Mus musculus: one gene and its partners. The protein of the gene in region 1 binds, or shares a complex with, the protein of each later gene. Links are inferred from orthologs where the notes say so. Each region holds a gene or a part of one and is shown in the gene's direction. Other genes may lie near its edges.

Region 1 (3,659 bases):
AGAAGATACCTGATGTCAACCTCGGGTACACGTACCAGCACACACGTGTGCATATATTCACTCTACATACACACAGAAATACTTCACTACCTATAGATAATTACTTAATCACTATCAACATTTTGAGGTATAGTCATCTGGTTTTCCCCCCTTTTTGGTCTGTATATTTATTTGCATATCATATGCTTTTACAGAAATTAGATCACACTATATTCATCTGTTACTTTTTTTTTTTTTGCCTAGTAGCATGTCATTGAAATGTTAGTATATCCCGAGCAACCTTTGTCTTTAGTTTAGCTGTGGACTGTTTTCTTGTGTGAGTAGCCTTGACATAATCCATGTAAACAGCCTCCTTTAATGGAAAGTCTTGTGGCATCCAGGGCTTTAATCTGACAGTGCTATGAAAGTGGTTTAGTATGCACATTCAAGGATTTTTTTCTTTGTCTTGGATATCTGGCCTCCCACACATCATTTTTTGATGCAGGGTCTCGTGTAACTCAGGCTGACTTCAAACTTGCTTTGTAGCCAAGAATGGCCTTAAACAACTGTTGCTCCTATCCCTGCCTCCTGGTTCTGGGATGCAGCTGTGCATCTTCCTGCCCCACCGACCTGGATGTCTCTAACTATATAGTTTCAGATGAAGAACTTCGGATCAAGCTGGAGCAATGTCTCAGCACTTGAGAGCACAGCTATTCTTCTAAAGGACTCAGTTTCAATTCCCAGCACTCACATGGCAGCTTACAGCCATATATAACTCCAGTTCCACGGAAGCCAAGTCCCTCTTTTGGTCTCCACAGACACCAGACATGCATGTGGTGCACATATATGTAGTCCAAACACCTATACACATGAAATAATTTTTTTAAAGTAAAAAGTTAAATACAGTAAAAAAATTCAAAGCACATTACAGAGTGTCTTCTAGAAATGTGGGACAGACTTTGGCTGCCAGGATGGTATATCCAATAACTGTGGGCATAGAGAGGGCTTTCTTTGCAATTCTAATGATGGTGAGCCTTTTTCTTCCATCCTACTTCCCAGAATGCTATTCGCGTTGCCCGGGACTTTGAGGGCTGCAGTGTTCTTCGAAAGTACCTTGGCCAGCTACACTACCTACAGAGTCGGGTGCCCATGGGCTCAGGCCAGGAGGCTGCTGTAGCTGTCACCTGGTGAGCACTGGTAGACTGGGCTGGGCAGATGAGAACTTAGAAGGTGTGAACTTGGACAGCTGGGATGCCTGGGTGATAGGCTTGATCCTTTCCCCCTCTCTTCTCTCCTTGCTGCACAAGATGGGGAATGGGTTAGTGTGATCTCCCATAGATGCCTGTCTCATACCGGGGTGGTTGGTCCCCTCCCCTGACCCTTGGGCCCAGGCCAGCTCTTACCATCTGTGTGACTCTGAGATGACTGGCATGTCTGCAGGACTGAGATCTTCTCGGGCAAGTCTGTGTCCCATGAAGACATCAAGTACGAGCAGGCCTGTATTCTCTACAACCTCGGTGAGCTGCTTGGTCCTTCCATGGCCTCCTCCAAGCCCTCCCAGCCCAGGGTCTTAGTTCATTAGGTCAGATGGCCAAAACAGCCATGAGTGGATGAAAGAAAGGTGCCTGGGTTGTAACCTCTCCCCCACCTCTACCACAGCACACAGGCACTTCTGCTGATTTCTGGGTCACTGGCATGTCGCTGTTTAAAGGGTTGCTCTGCTGGGCTGACTGTCACAAGCGTTGTCGCTGTGTACTTACTCCAGTAGGGAGTCATGGCCTCTTTTGTCTGAGAGTATCACCCCTACCCCCCAAATTAACGGCTTTCAGATTGCTTCAGGGAGGGAGGTCAAAGCTGGCCTTAGACTGCCCTTCAAGTCAGCTGTGCTGTTGGCTGAGGGAAAGAATGGGGGCTCTTCCCTGCTTTACCCCCAGTCAGGTGCATAACCGGAGAAAAGATTTGGCTAGGTTTGTGATTGTTCTTCCTCGGGAATCCTTGCACTGACCGCCCAGGTCTCAGACCTGTTTCTCTGACTGAATGACAGCAGTGCCCCTCGACTTCAGCCTCAGCACACGAGTGGGCGGCCTGGGAAGCATCCCCAGGCTCTTGTAACCGAGTGTCCCCTGCCTCTCTAGGTGCACTGCACTCCATGCTGGGGGCTATGGACAAGCGGGTGTCTGAGGAGGTGAGGCTTGGGGACAGCGTGGGCTCAGCCGCCAGAGTTTGCTTCCTGCCTTACGGAAGTGGCATCTTTCACCTCTTCCCTCCCAGGGCATGAAAGTCTCCTGCACCCACTTCCAGTGTGCAGCAGGCGCCTTTGCCTACCTGCGTGAACACTTCCCACAGGCCTTCAGTGTGGACATGAGTCGCCAGATCCTTACGCTCAATGTCAACCTCATGCTGGTGAGCAGGGGGGGCCCTGGTGGAGCCAGATTGCTCTTGTTTCTGTTTTGAAATAGAGTCTTATTCTGTAGCTCAGGCTGGTCTGAAACTTGCTGTGTAGTCCATGCTTTCTTCAAAATCATGGCCAGTCGTCTTGCCTCTGTCTTTTTGGGGTTAATCATGAGCCACCGCCCCTAACTTTAAGTTAAATTGGAGAAGAAATGACTAAGGGAGGAGGCAGTTCCAGCTAGATCATGGGCCAGCCATGTGCCTGTAGTAAGGGACAGGCAGGAAAGAGGCCCTAGTGTTGGGTCTTTTGAGTTTCAGGAAGATCTGGCAGTGTGTTAATTTTGGGGGAGACTAGAGGAGAGGAGATATTTTGGTCTGTCCCTTGGCTCCCAGGAAGGAAAGGACCTTCAGGTGACCTGCACTTGTTGCTCCAGGGCCAGGCTCAGGAGTGCCTGTTGGAGAAGTCCATGTTGGACAACCGGAAGAGCTTTCTAGTGGCCCGCATCAGCGCACAGGTAGGAAGAGGGCTGAGGCCCGCATCAGCGCACAGGTTGCTTTGCCCCTGGTCCTCGATAACTGGACTCATTCCAACTCCTAGGTGGTAGATTACTATAAGGAGGCATGCCGGGCCTTGGAAAACCCTGATACTGCCTCCCTGCTGGGCCGTATCCAGAAAGACTGGAAGAAACTTGTCCAAATGAAGATCTACTACTTTGCGGCTGTGGCTCATGTATGGTGAGGGGTTGCTGGGTGTGGAGTGAGCCCGATGGCTGTAGCCTAGGAGACAAGTGTGATGCCTATTCCTTTTTGCCCAGCTACACATGGGGAAGCAGGCTGAGGAGCAACAGAAATTTGGGGAACGGGTGAGTGGACTGTGGGTAAGGGGTGCACTGAGGATCTGTTCTGGGCTTTTATGATCGTCTTTACATCATATTGGAGCTGGTCCTCTCTGTCCCCATCCTTGTTTTCCTCCTTACACCATGTGCCAAGCCATCACCACCTTGCAGCCCTTGTTTGTAAGGGTCTCAGGAGGTATGGTGGGGTCCCCACAGGGAGGGTAGCCCTTTGGGAGCTACAGTGGAGCTGTTTGGGGGCTGTTGGCTTGGCTGGCATCTGCTACCTGAGGGGCTGGTCTTATGGTCAGTGATGCTATCATCAGGTAGGATGAATTAGGGACATGGAACATTAGGGCCCGAGCAGGAAAGGACAGACCAGGTTTTGCCCTCCACAGGTGGCCTACTTCCAGAGTGCCCTGGACAAGCTTAATGAAGCCATCAAGTTGGCCAAGG
Region 2 (2,940 bases), on another chromosome or scaffold:
CATGCACATATACACACAACTGCATACACACATGCACATATACACACACTGCATACACACATGCACATATACACACAACTGCATACACACATGCACATATACACACACTGCATACACACATGCACATATACACACACTGCATACACACATGCACATATACACACTGCATACACACATGCACATATACATCTCACACAGAACATAGTACTGCATACACACATGCACATATACACACACTGCATACACACATGCACATATACACACACTGCATATACATCTCACACAGAACATATAGTACTGCATACACACATGCACATATACACACACTGCATACACACATGCACATATACACACACTGCATACACACATGCACATATACACACACTGCATACACACATGCACATATACACACACTGCATACACACATGCACATATACACACACTGCATATACATCTCACACAGAACATATAGTACTGCATACACACATGCACATATACACACAACTGCATACACACATGCACATATACACACACTGCATACACACATGCACATATACACACACTGCATATACATCTCACACAGAACATATAGTACTGCATACACACATGCACATATACACACAACTGCATACACACATGCACATATACACACACTGCATACACACATGCACATATACACACACTGCATATACATCTCACACAGAACATATAGTACTGCATACACACATGCACATATACACACACTGCATACACACATGCACATATACACACACTGCATACACACATGCACATATACACACACTGCATACACACATGCACATATACACACACTGCATATACATCTCACACAGAACATATAGTACTGCATACACACATGCACATATACACACAACTGCATACACACATGCACATATACACACACTGCATACACACATGCACATATACACACACTGCATATACATCTCACACAGAACATATAGTACTGCATACACACATGCACATATACACACACTGCATACACACATGCACATATACACACACTGCATACACACATGCACATATACACACACTGCATACACACATGCACATATACACACAACTGCATACACACATGCACATATACACACACTGCATATACATCTCACACAGAACATAGTACTGCAACAATTTGAAACACGGTATGTTGATTTTTCAATTCATTTTTAATTCAAATTAAGTTGCATTGTTAATTATATTAAAGCTTCAGATATCATTTACATATGTGTTTAGTTGGAAGGAAATCTAAAATATAAAGTAGTGACAATATTTATAATGTTATAATTTATGTAGTAAAGAGATAAAAGAAATGGGAAAATAAATTTTTGAAAATAACTTTATTTTACTCATAGCTTTAAGCTGAATATTCAAAAAATGCTACATATTCGGCTGCCAAGCAACACAAGAGGGCTAATTTTCTAGGGTTACCTTTATCAAGATTTCTTTTTTTTCCAGGTTGAGTTCCAGGCAGGCTGTGAAGGCCAGCTTCTGCCTCAGCATTACCTGAATGATCTGGATAGTGCCCTGATCCCTGTGATCCACGGCGGGACCTCCAACTCTAGTCTGCCACTAGAAATAGAGTTAGCATTTTTCATTCTAGAAAACCTTTCTGAGTGAAACCGTGTACTGTGCTGTATCTTGCAAACTGATCGGTTAAAACGAATCCCAGCACTAAAACGGAAATGCCACCAACACTAAATGTTTGATAATTGAAATATATAATTTTGCTTTTTAGGTAGGAATGATTTTTAAAAATCATTAGCACAGTATTTAAGTTCCTAAAAATTTAAGGAATCATCATTTTTATAGCTTTATGCTTATTATAAGAACTAAGAGGAAATATTTCTAACTTACAATTTACAGTATTTACTGTGTACCTTAACTGTTAAGCCAAAGCATCTGCGCTTAGCCCTACTCCTCATAGATGACGAGAATGAAGGAGAGACCTGCGTTGTGTGGATGCTAGTGAGAACACTGGTTTTGAAGTCTGTTTAAAAATGTATCTCAGTAAGGAAGACCAGTTTCAAGATTCTAGACTTATAATTCTTTGAATAAAGCTGATAACTTATTTGTATAAATGGAATGAAGACCTACCTCCATGATTACATACAAACTGTTTGATTAAATTTAGAATTTTGCCTTTATTTCTTCTCAAATTTCATGTATCTATATATATATATACACACATATAAATATATCATTTTTTCTGATTAAAATAATTGCGGGTGCTTTAGGACTTTATGCTTCTCTATTTAAGTCTGTTGTTTCCATAGCAACATATGATTTGGAATGTGTTTTATAAATCTTTGCTAATATATAAATAGATAATATTTTTGTATCACAGTGCATTCTTTTTCTCCTTCCTTACAAAGTACACCACTGTATTTAACACTCTTGAGATGACGACAGGCCAGATGGCCTATGAAATAGTCATCAGGTAGCAATAACTGAAGCCTAAAGCAGGTTTCTTTTACTTTCATGTTAGTCCTTAGTAATTTCTTGATTGATATCAATGTATGAAGTGTAAATTTCAACAAACTTACTACTTTTGCATATTTTAAATTCTTTCTATGCTAGTTATTTTTTATAATGGAATATTTAACTTAACAAAAAGTTAAAGGTTGTGATAGAGCTTTCTAGTTTAATTCAGACAACAGAAAAGAAAAAACTGTCATTTAACTTATATAAAATGTAATCATTGTTTTGATGCCTTTTTATTATGTGAAATATATTTTTGTATTAAAAACACTCATTGTATCTATCAGGAAGTCACACTAAATAACTCTGTGTAAGAAGGATTATTTATAAAGCATTGCACCTTATAGATCCAGGCACGTGATTCTCCTCCAAATCACACTTGGACCAGCCAGACACATATTTGAGGAGAATGTCCACAAGTAATGT
Region 3 (3,659 bases), on another chromosome or scaffold:
GTCTCACACAAAACAAAACAAAACAAAACAAAACAAAACAAAACAAAACAAAACAGTACACTATAACTCATGATCAGCAATAATCAGTACACTGCCTTTTGTCTGCACCTCTGTTTCATTTTTAACACTTTGGAGGTATTGGTGTACACACCTGTGTGTGCCTCTGTGTGTGTGTGTGTGTGTGTGACAGAGAGAGAGAGAGACAGAGAGAGAGAGAGAGAGAGAGAGAGAGAGAGAGAGAGAGAGAGAGAGAGCACAAGTGAGCACTTATAGAAGCTTATGAACATAGATGTTCTTCTTGCCTGTATGGATGTAGAGGCCAAAGGTCAACATTTTATCACTTCCTCGGTGATCTCTACACTTTTTTTCCTCAAGTCACAATTTTAATAATCCCTGTAAGAAACACCCCTTCAGAGAAAGGAACAATGCACCATCTAGAAGGAAACTGCTGCCAGAATTTGCTCTTTCGAGCTAGATTGGCTTATCAGCAGTCCTTTGGAATCTGCTTATATGTACTGTCCACAGCACTGGGGTTACAGTTTTATGCCACCATGCTCCAGCTTGTGCCTCTCTAGTCTTTTATATAAGTGCTACAGCTAAATTTAGGTCTTCATGCTTACACAAAGGGGTACCTTTGTCCACTGAGCCATTTCCCCAGATGACGGCTGCTGCTGCTGCTGCTTCTTCCTCTTCTTCTTCTTCTTCCTCTTCCTCTTTCTCCTCCCCCTCTTCCTTTTCTTTTTCCTCCTCCTCTTCTTCTTCCTCTTCCTCCTTTTTCCTCCCTCTCTTCCTTTTTTCCTCCTTCTCTTCCTCGTCTTCCTCCTCTCCTTCCTCCTCTTTTTCTTCCTTCTCTTCCTTCTTCTCTTCCTTCTTCTCTTCCTCTTCCTCCTCTTCTTTCTCCTCCTTACTCTTCCTCCTCCTTCTTCATAGGGTCTTCTATATTGCCCAGGTTAGCTTCAAACTCAGAATATAGCCAAAGATGACCTTGAACTTCTGACCTTCCAGCTTCCTACTTCCTGCCTTCACCTCCCTAGGAATATAGGTATTTGCCAGCACACTCAGTTTCTGCAGCACAGGATGTCATACTGAGGGCTTAGTGAATGCTAGGCACTGTAATAACTGAGCAAATCTCTAGGCCCATTTTTTTTTTTTTAAAGTTTTTTCGCGGGGCGTGGTGGCACACGCCTTTAATCCCAGCACTGGGGAGGCAGAGACAGGCAGATTTCTGAGTTCAAGGCCAGCCTGGTCTACAGAGCGAGTTCCAGGACAGCCAGGACTACACAGAGAAACCCTGTCTCGAATTAAAAAAAAACAAAACAAAACAAAAAAAAAACCCAAAAAAAAAGTTTTTTCAGATAAACTTTATATTCACGAAAAGACCTAAATTTTATTACACAGAGTTAGTGGTTTGTTTGTTTTTGTTTTTGTCTGTTTTGAGACAATCTCACTTTGCTTCCAAGATGGCTTGAAATCATTGACTCAGTTGTTCTTTCACTTCAGGCTCCCAAGACTACAAGGTTTACTGTATAGATTTAGCAAATGGAGGTATCCATGTAACCCACACCCCAATCATGTAGACTAGAGAGCATTTAATCTCCATAGAAAAATTCTCACTCAGTTACTAGTCTCCACTACTGTTCATTGTCTGTGCCTTGTCTTATACACAGACAATCCAAAGTTCCTTTCCCATTCCTGGGTATATAGGTCAATTTAATTGTGTTATTATTTATCTCAATCTAATAACACAATTAAATTGACATAAAATTCATTTGTTGTTTGTTTTTTAAGACAGGATTTCTTTGTGTAGCTCTGGCTGTTCTGGAACTCACAGAGATCCCCCTGCCTTTGGCTCCTGAGTGCTGAGATTAAAGACATGCACAACCACTGCCCAACTTTGTTATTTGAAATGTTCTGAGGCATTACCATTTGTCGACAGATAATTATAGGGCATTGTCTTAAATGTATTTTTCTTATGTCTAGCTAAAGATTAGATACTGTCATATTCTGGGGACATTTTCTTCAAAGCACAGCTGGAAATATTTGTCAGGTAGCCCTAAGTAGCTTTTACTGTTACCAACAAACTTACTATAATTACTTTTTTTTTTCCTTCAGATGAAACAGTTTCTCCTACTTTATTGGATACAAAGTGGAATAAGATTTTAGATCCCTCTTCTCACCCATTGTCTTTTAACCCTGCATTAGCCAGTGTGAATGAACCTACAGTTTCTGAGACAGGACCACAGCTGAAAGTCTTCTCTCTGGCTGGCTCAGCTCCCCTTACAAAGGAGGACAAAGATCCCTGTGCTAACGGACAGGACTGTAGTCTAAATCCAGAGACTGACACCATGTGGATTGATGAAAATGCTGTGACAGAAGACCAACTAATTAAGAGAAACTATAATCAGGATGATCAATTTAGTGCCGTTGAAGTGGGAGAGGAGAAATGTGGAAGCCTCACTTGTCTGCCAGACGAGAAGAATGTTCTGGTTGTAGCTGTCATGCATAACTGCGATAAAAGGACATTGCAAAGCGATTTGCAGGATTGTAATAATTACAATAGTCAATCCCTCATGAATTCTTTTAGTTGTTCACTGGATAATGAGACTAGACAAACTGATCAATTTAGTTTTAGTATGAATGGGTCCACGGAAAAAGGTATAAACTCGGAGAAACAAATGGATGCTTTGAATAAACCAAAACCAGAGAGGGATTCTGTGAATCATCTCTGTGCGGCTTCATCTAACAGTGCAACCAGTATCTCTTCCCCTTCACAATTGAAGGACGGTGAGAATGTGGGTAGAGACCCATCTACATCTACAGTTACAAGCTTAGCAGTTAATTCATCCCAGGGAATGGATGGAGGGCCTGCCATTAAACAGCAAGGAAATTATATGCCAGATGAGGATCTTTCTGGCATGAACAGCTCTTCCAGGACAGACCTAGGGATCTCCAACTCCTTTTCCCACTCAAGTGGAGAGCTCTTAATAAAAACAGAGCCAGCTGAGGAGAGGACAGCTGAAGACTCCCTCCCATCTGATTTATCTTTGAATCTCAAGCCGGATACTCCTGCTTTATCTGGAAGGGACAATTGCGAACAGTCTTCAGACTGCCTTGGGTCTAGTGAAACTAGAGCTGATGAAGATGAAGGTAATGACTCTCAGATGACTAATTGGAAATTAACGAAGCTAAATGAGATGAGTGATAGCCAAGTGAATGAAGAAAATCAAATGGCTTTACAGAGTAATCAACCTGAGGACACTAATAGTGGAGGCGAGTGTGTTGGAATGGCAGATTCTGATCTAGATTTCAAAGGAACTTGCATGAATGAGAGTGAAGGATATGATTTCTCCACTGTTAATGATGCACCAGCAGCAAATTCTCTATCTAATAGTTGTGATTCCTATGGAATGCAGAGCCCAATTGTATCTTTTGTTCCAAAGACATTACCCTCCAAAGAAGATTCAGTAACAGAAGAAAAAGAAATAGAAGAGAGCAAGTCAGAATGCTATTCAAATATTTATGAACAGAGAGGAAACGAGAATGCAGAAGGGAGTGGACTGCTTTTAAACAGCACTGGGAATGTAATGAAGAAAAATTATTTACATAATTTCTGTAGTCAAATCCCATCAGTACTTGGGCAATCTTCCCCCAAGATAGCA

Evidence for each region. Proteins that work in one complex are often made in the same cells at the same time.
Region 2: the proteins of Ptpn23 (region 1) and Zfyve16 are in contact, whole or in part, in a crystal structure (PDB 5MK0), measured with the Homo sapiens proteins. The link is inferred for Mus musculus from reciprocal best matches to the Homo sapiens genes PTPN23 and ZFYVE16. Residues at the interface, in NP_056281.1 of Homo sapiens: Phe62, His125, Glu137, Glu138, Lys141, Val142, Cys144, Thr145, His146, Gln148, Cys149, Leu189, Lys192, Ser193, Asp196, Arg198, Lys199, Phe201, Leu202, Arg205, Ile206, Ala336, Leu338, Leu342, Asp348, Ala350, Val351; in NP_001098721.2 of Homo sapiens: Asp2, Tyr4, Phe5, Ala8, Val9, Leu12, Asp13, Leu15, Leu16, Asp17, Phe19, Glu20, Gln21.
Region 3: the proteins of Ptpn23 (region 1) and Zfyve9 are in contact, whole or in part, in a crystal structure (PDB 5MJY), measured with the Homo sapiens proteins. The link is inferred for Mus musculus from reciprocal best matches to the Homo sapiens genes PTPN23 and ZFYVE9. Residues at the interface, in NP_056281.1 of Homo sapiens: Phe62, His125, Glu137, Lys141, Val142, Cys144, Thr145, His146, Gln148, Cys149, Leu189, Lys192, Ser193, Asp196, Arg198, Lys199, Leu202, Arg205, Ile206, Ala336, Leu338, Leu342, Asp348, Ala350, Val351; in NP_004790.2 of Homo sapiens: Glu2, Tyr4, Phe5, Gln6, Glu8, Ala9, Leu12, Asp13, Val15, Leu16, Asp17, Phe19, Glu20.

Annotation. Positions count from the first base shown.
Region 1 is NC_000075.6:110,391,208-110,394,866, reverse strand, and holds part of Ptpn23 (tyrosine-protein phosphatase non-receptor type 23), read left to right. Parts: intron 1-1,038; coding exon 1,039-1,166; intron 1,167-1,419; coding exon 1,420-1,496; intron 1,497-2,114; coding exon 2,115-2,164; intron 2,165-2,250; coding exon 2,251-2,382; intron 2,383-2,763; exon of another isoform or gene 2,764-2,804; coding exon 2,805-2,885; intron 2,886-2,968; coding exon 2,969-3,100; intron 3,101-3,185; coding exon 3,186-3,233; intron 3,234-3,601; coding exon 3,602-3,658; intron 3,659-3,659. UniProt on the Homo sapiens protein: Plays a role in sorting of endocytic ubiquitinated cargos into multivesicular bodies (MVBs) via its interaction with the ESCRT-I complex (endosomal sorting complex required for transport I), and possibly also other ESCRT complexes.
Region 2 is NC_000079.6:92,487,175-92,490,114, reverse strand, and holds the end of Zfyve16 (zinc finger FYVE domain-containing protein 16), read left to right. Parts: intron 1-1,491; coding exon 1,492-1,653; 3' UTR 1,654-2,366; downstream 2,367-2,940.
Region 3 is NC_000070.6:108,718,266-108,721,924, reverse strand, and holds part of Zfyve9 (zinc finger FYVE domain-containing protein 9), read left to right. Parts: intron 1-2,112; coding exon 2,113-3,659. UniProt on the Homo sapiens protein: Early endosomal protein that functions to recruit SMAD2/SMAD3 to intracellular membranes and to the TGF-beta receptor.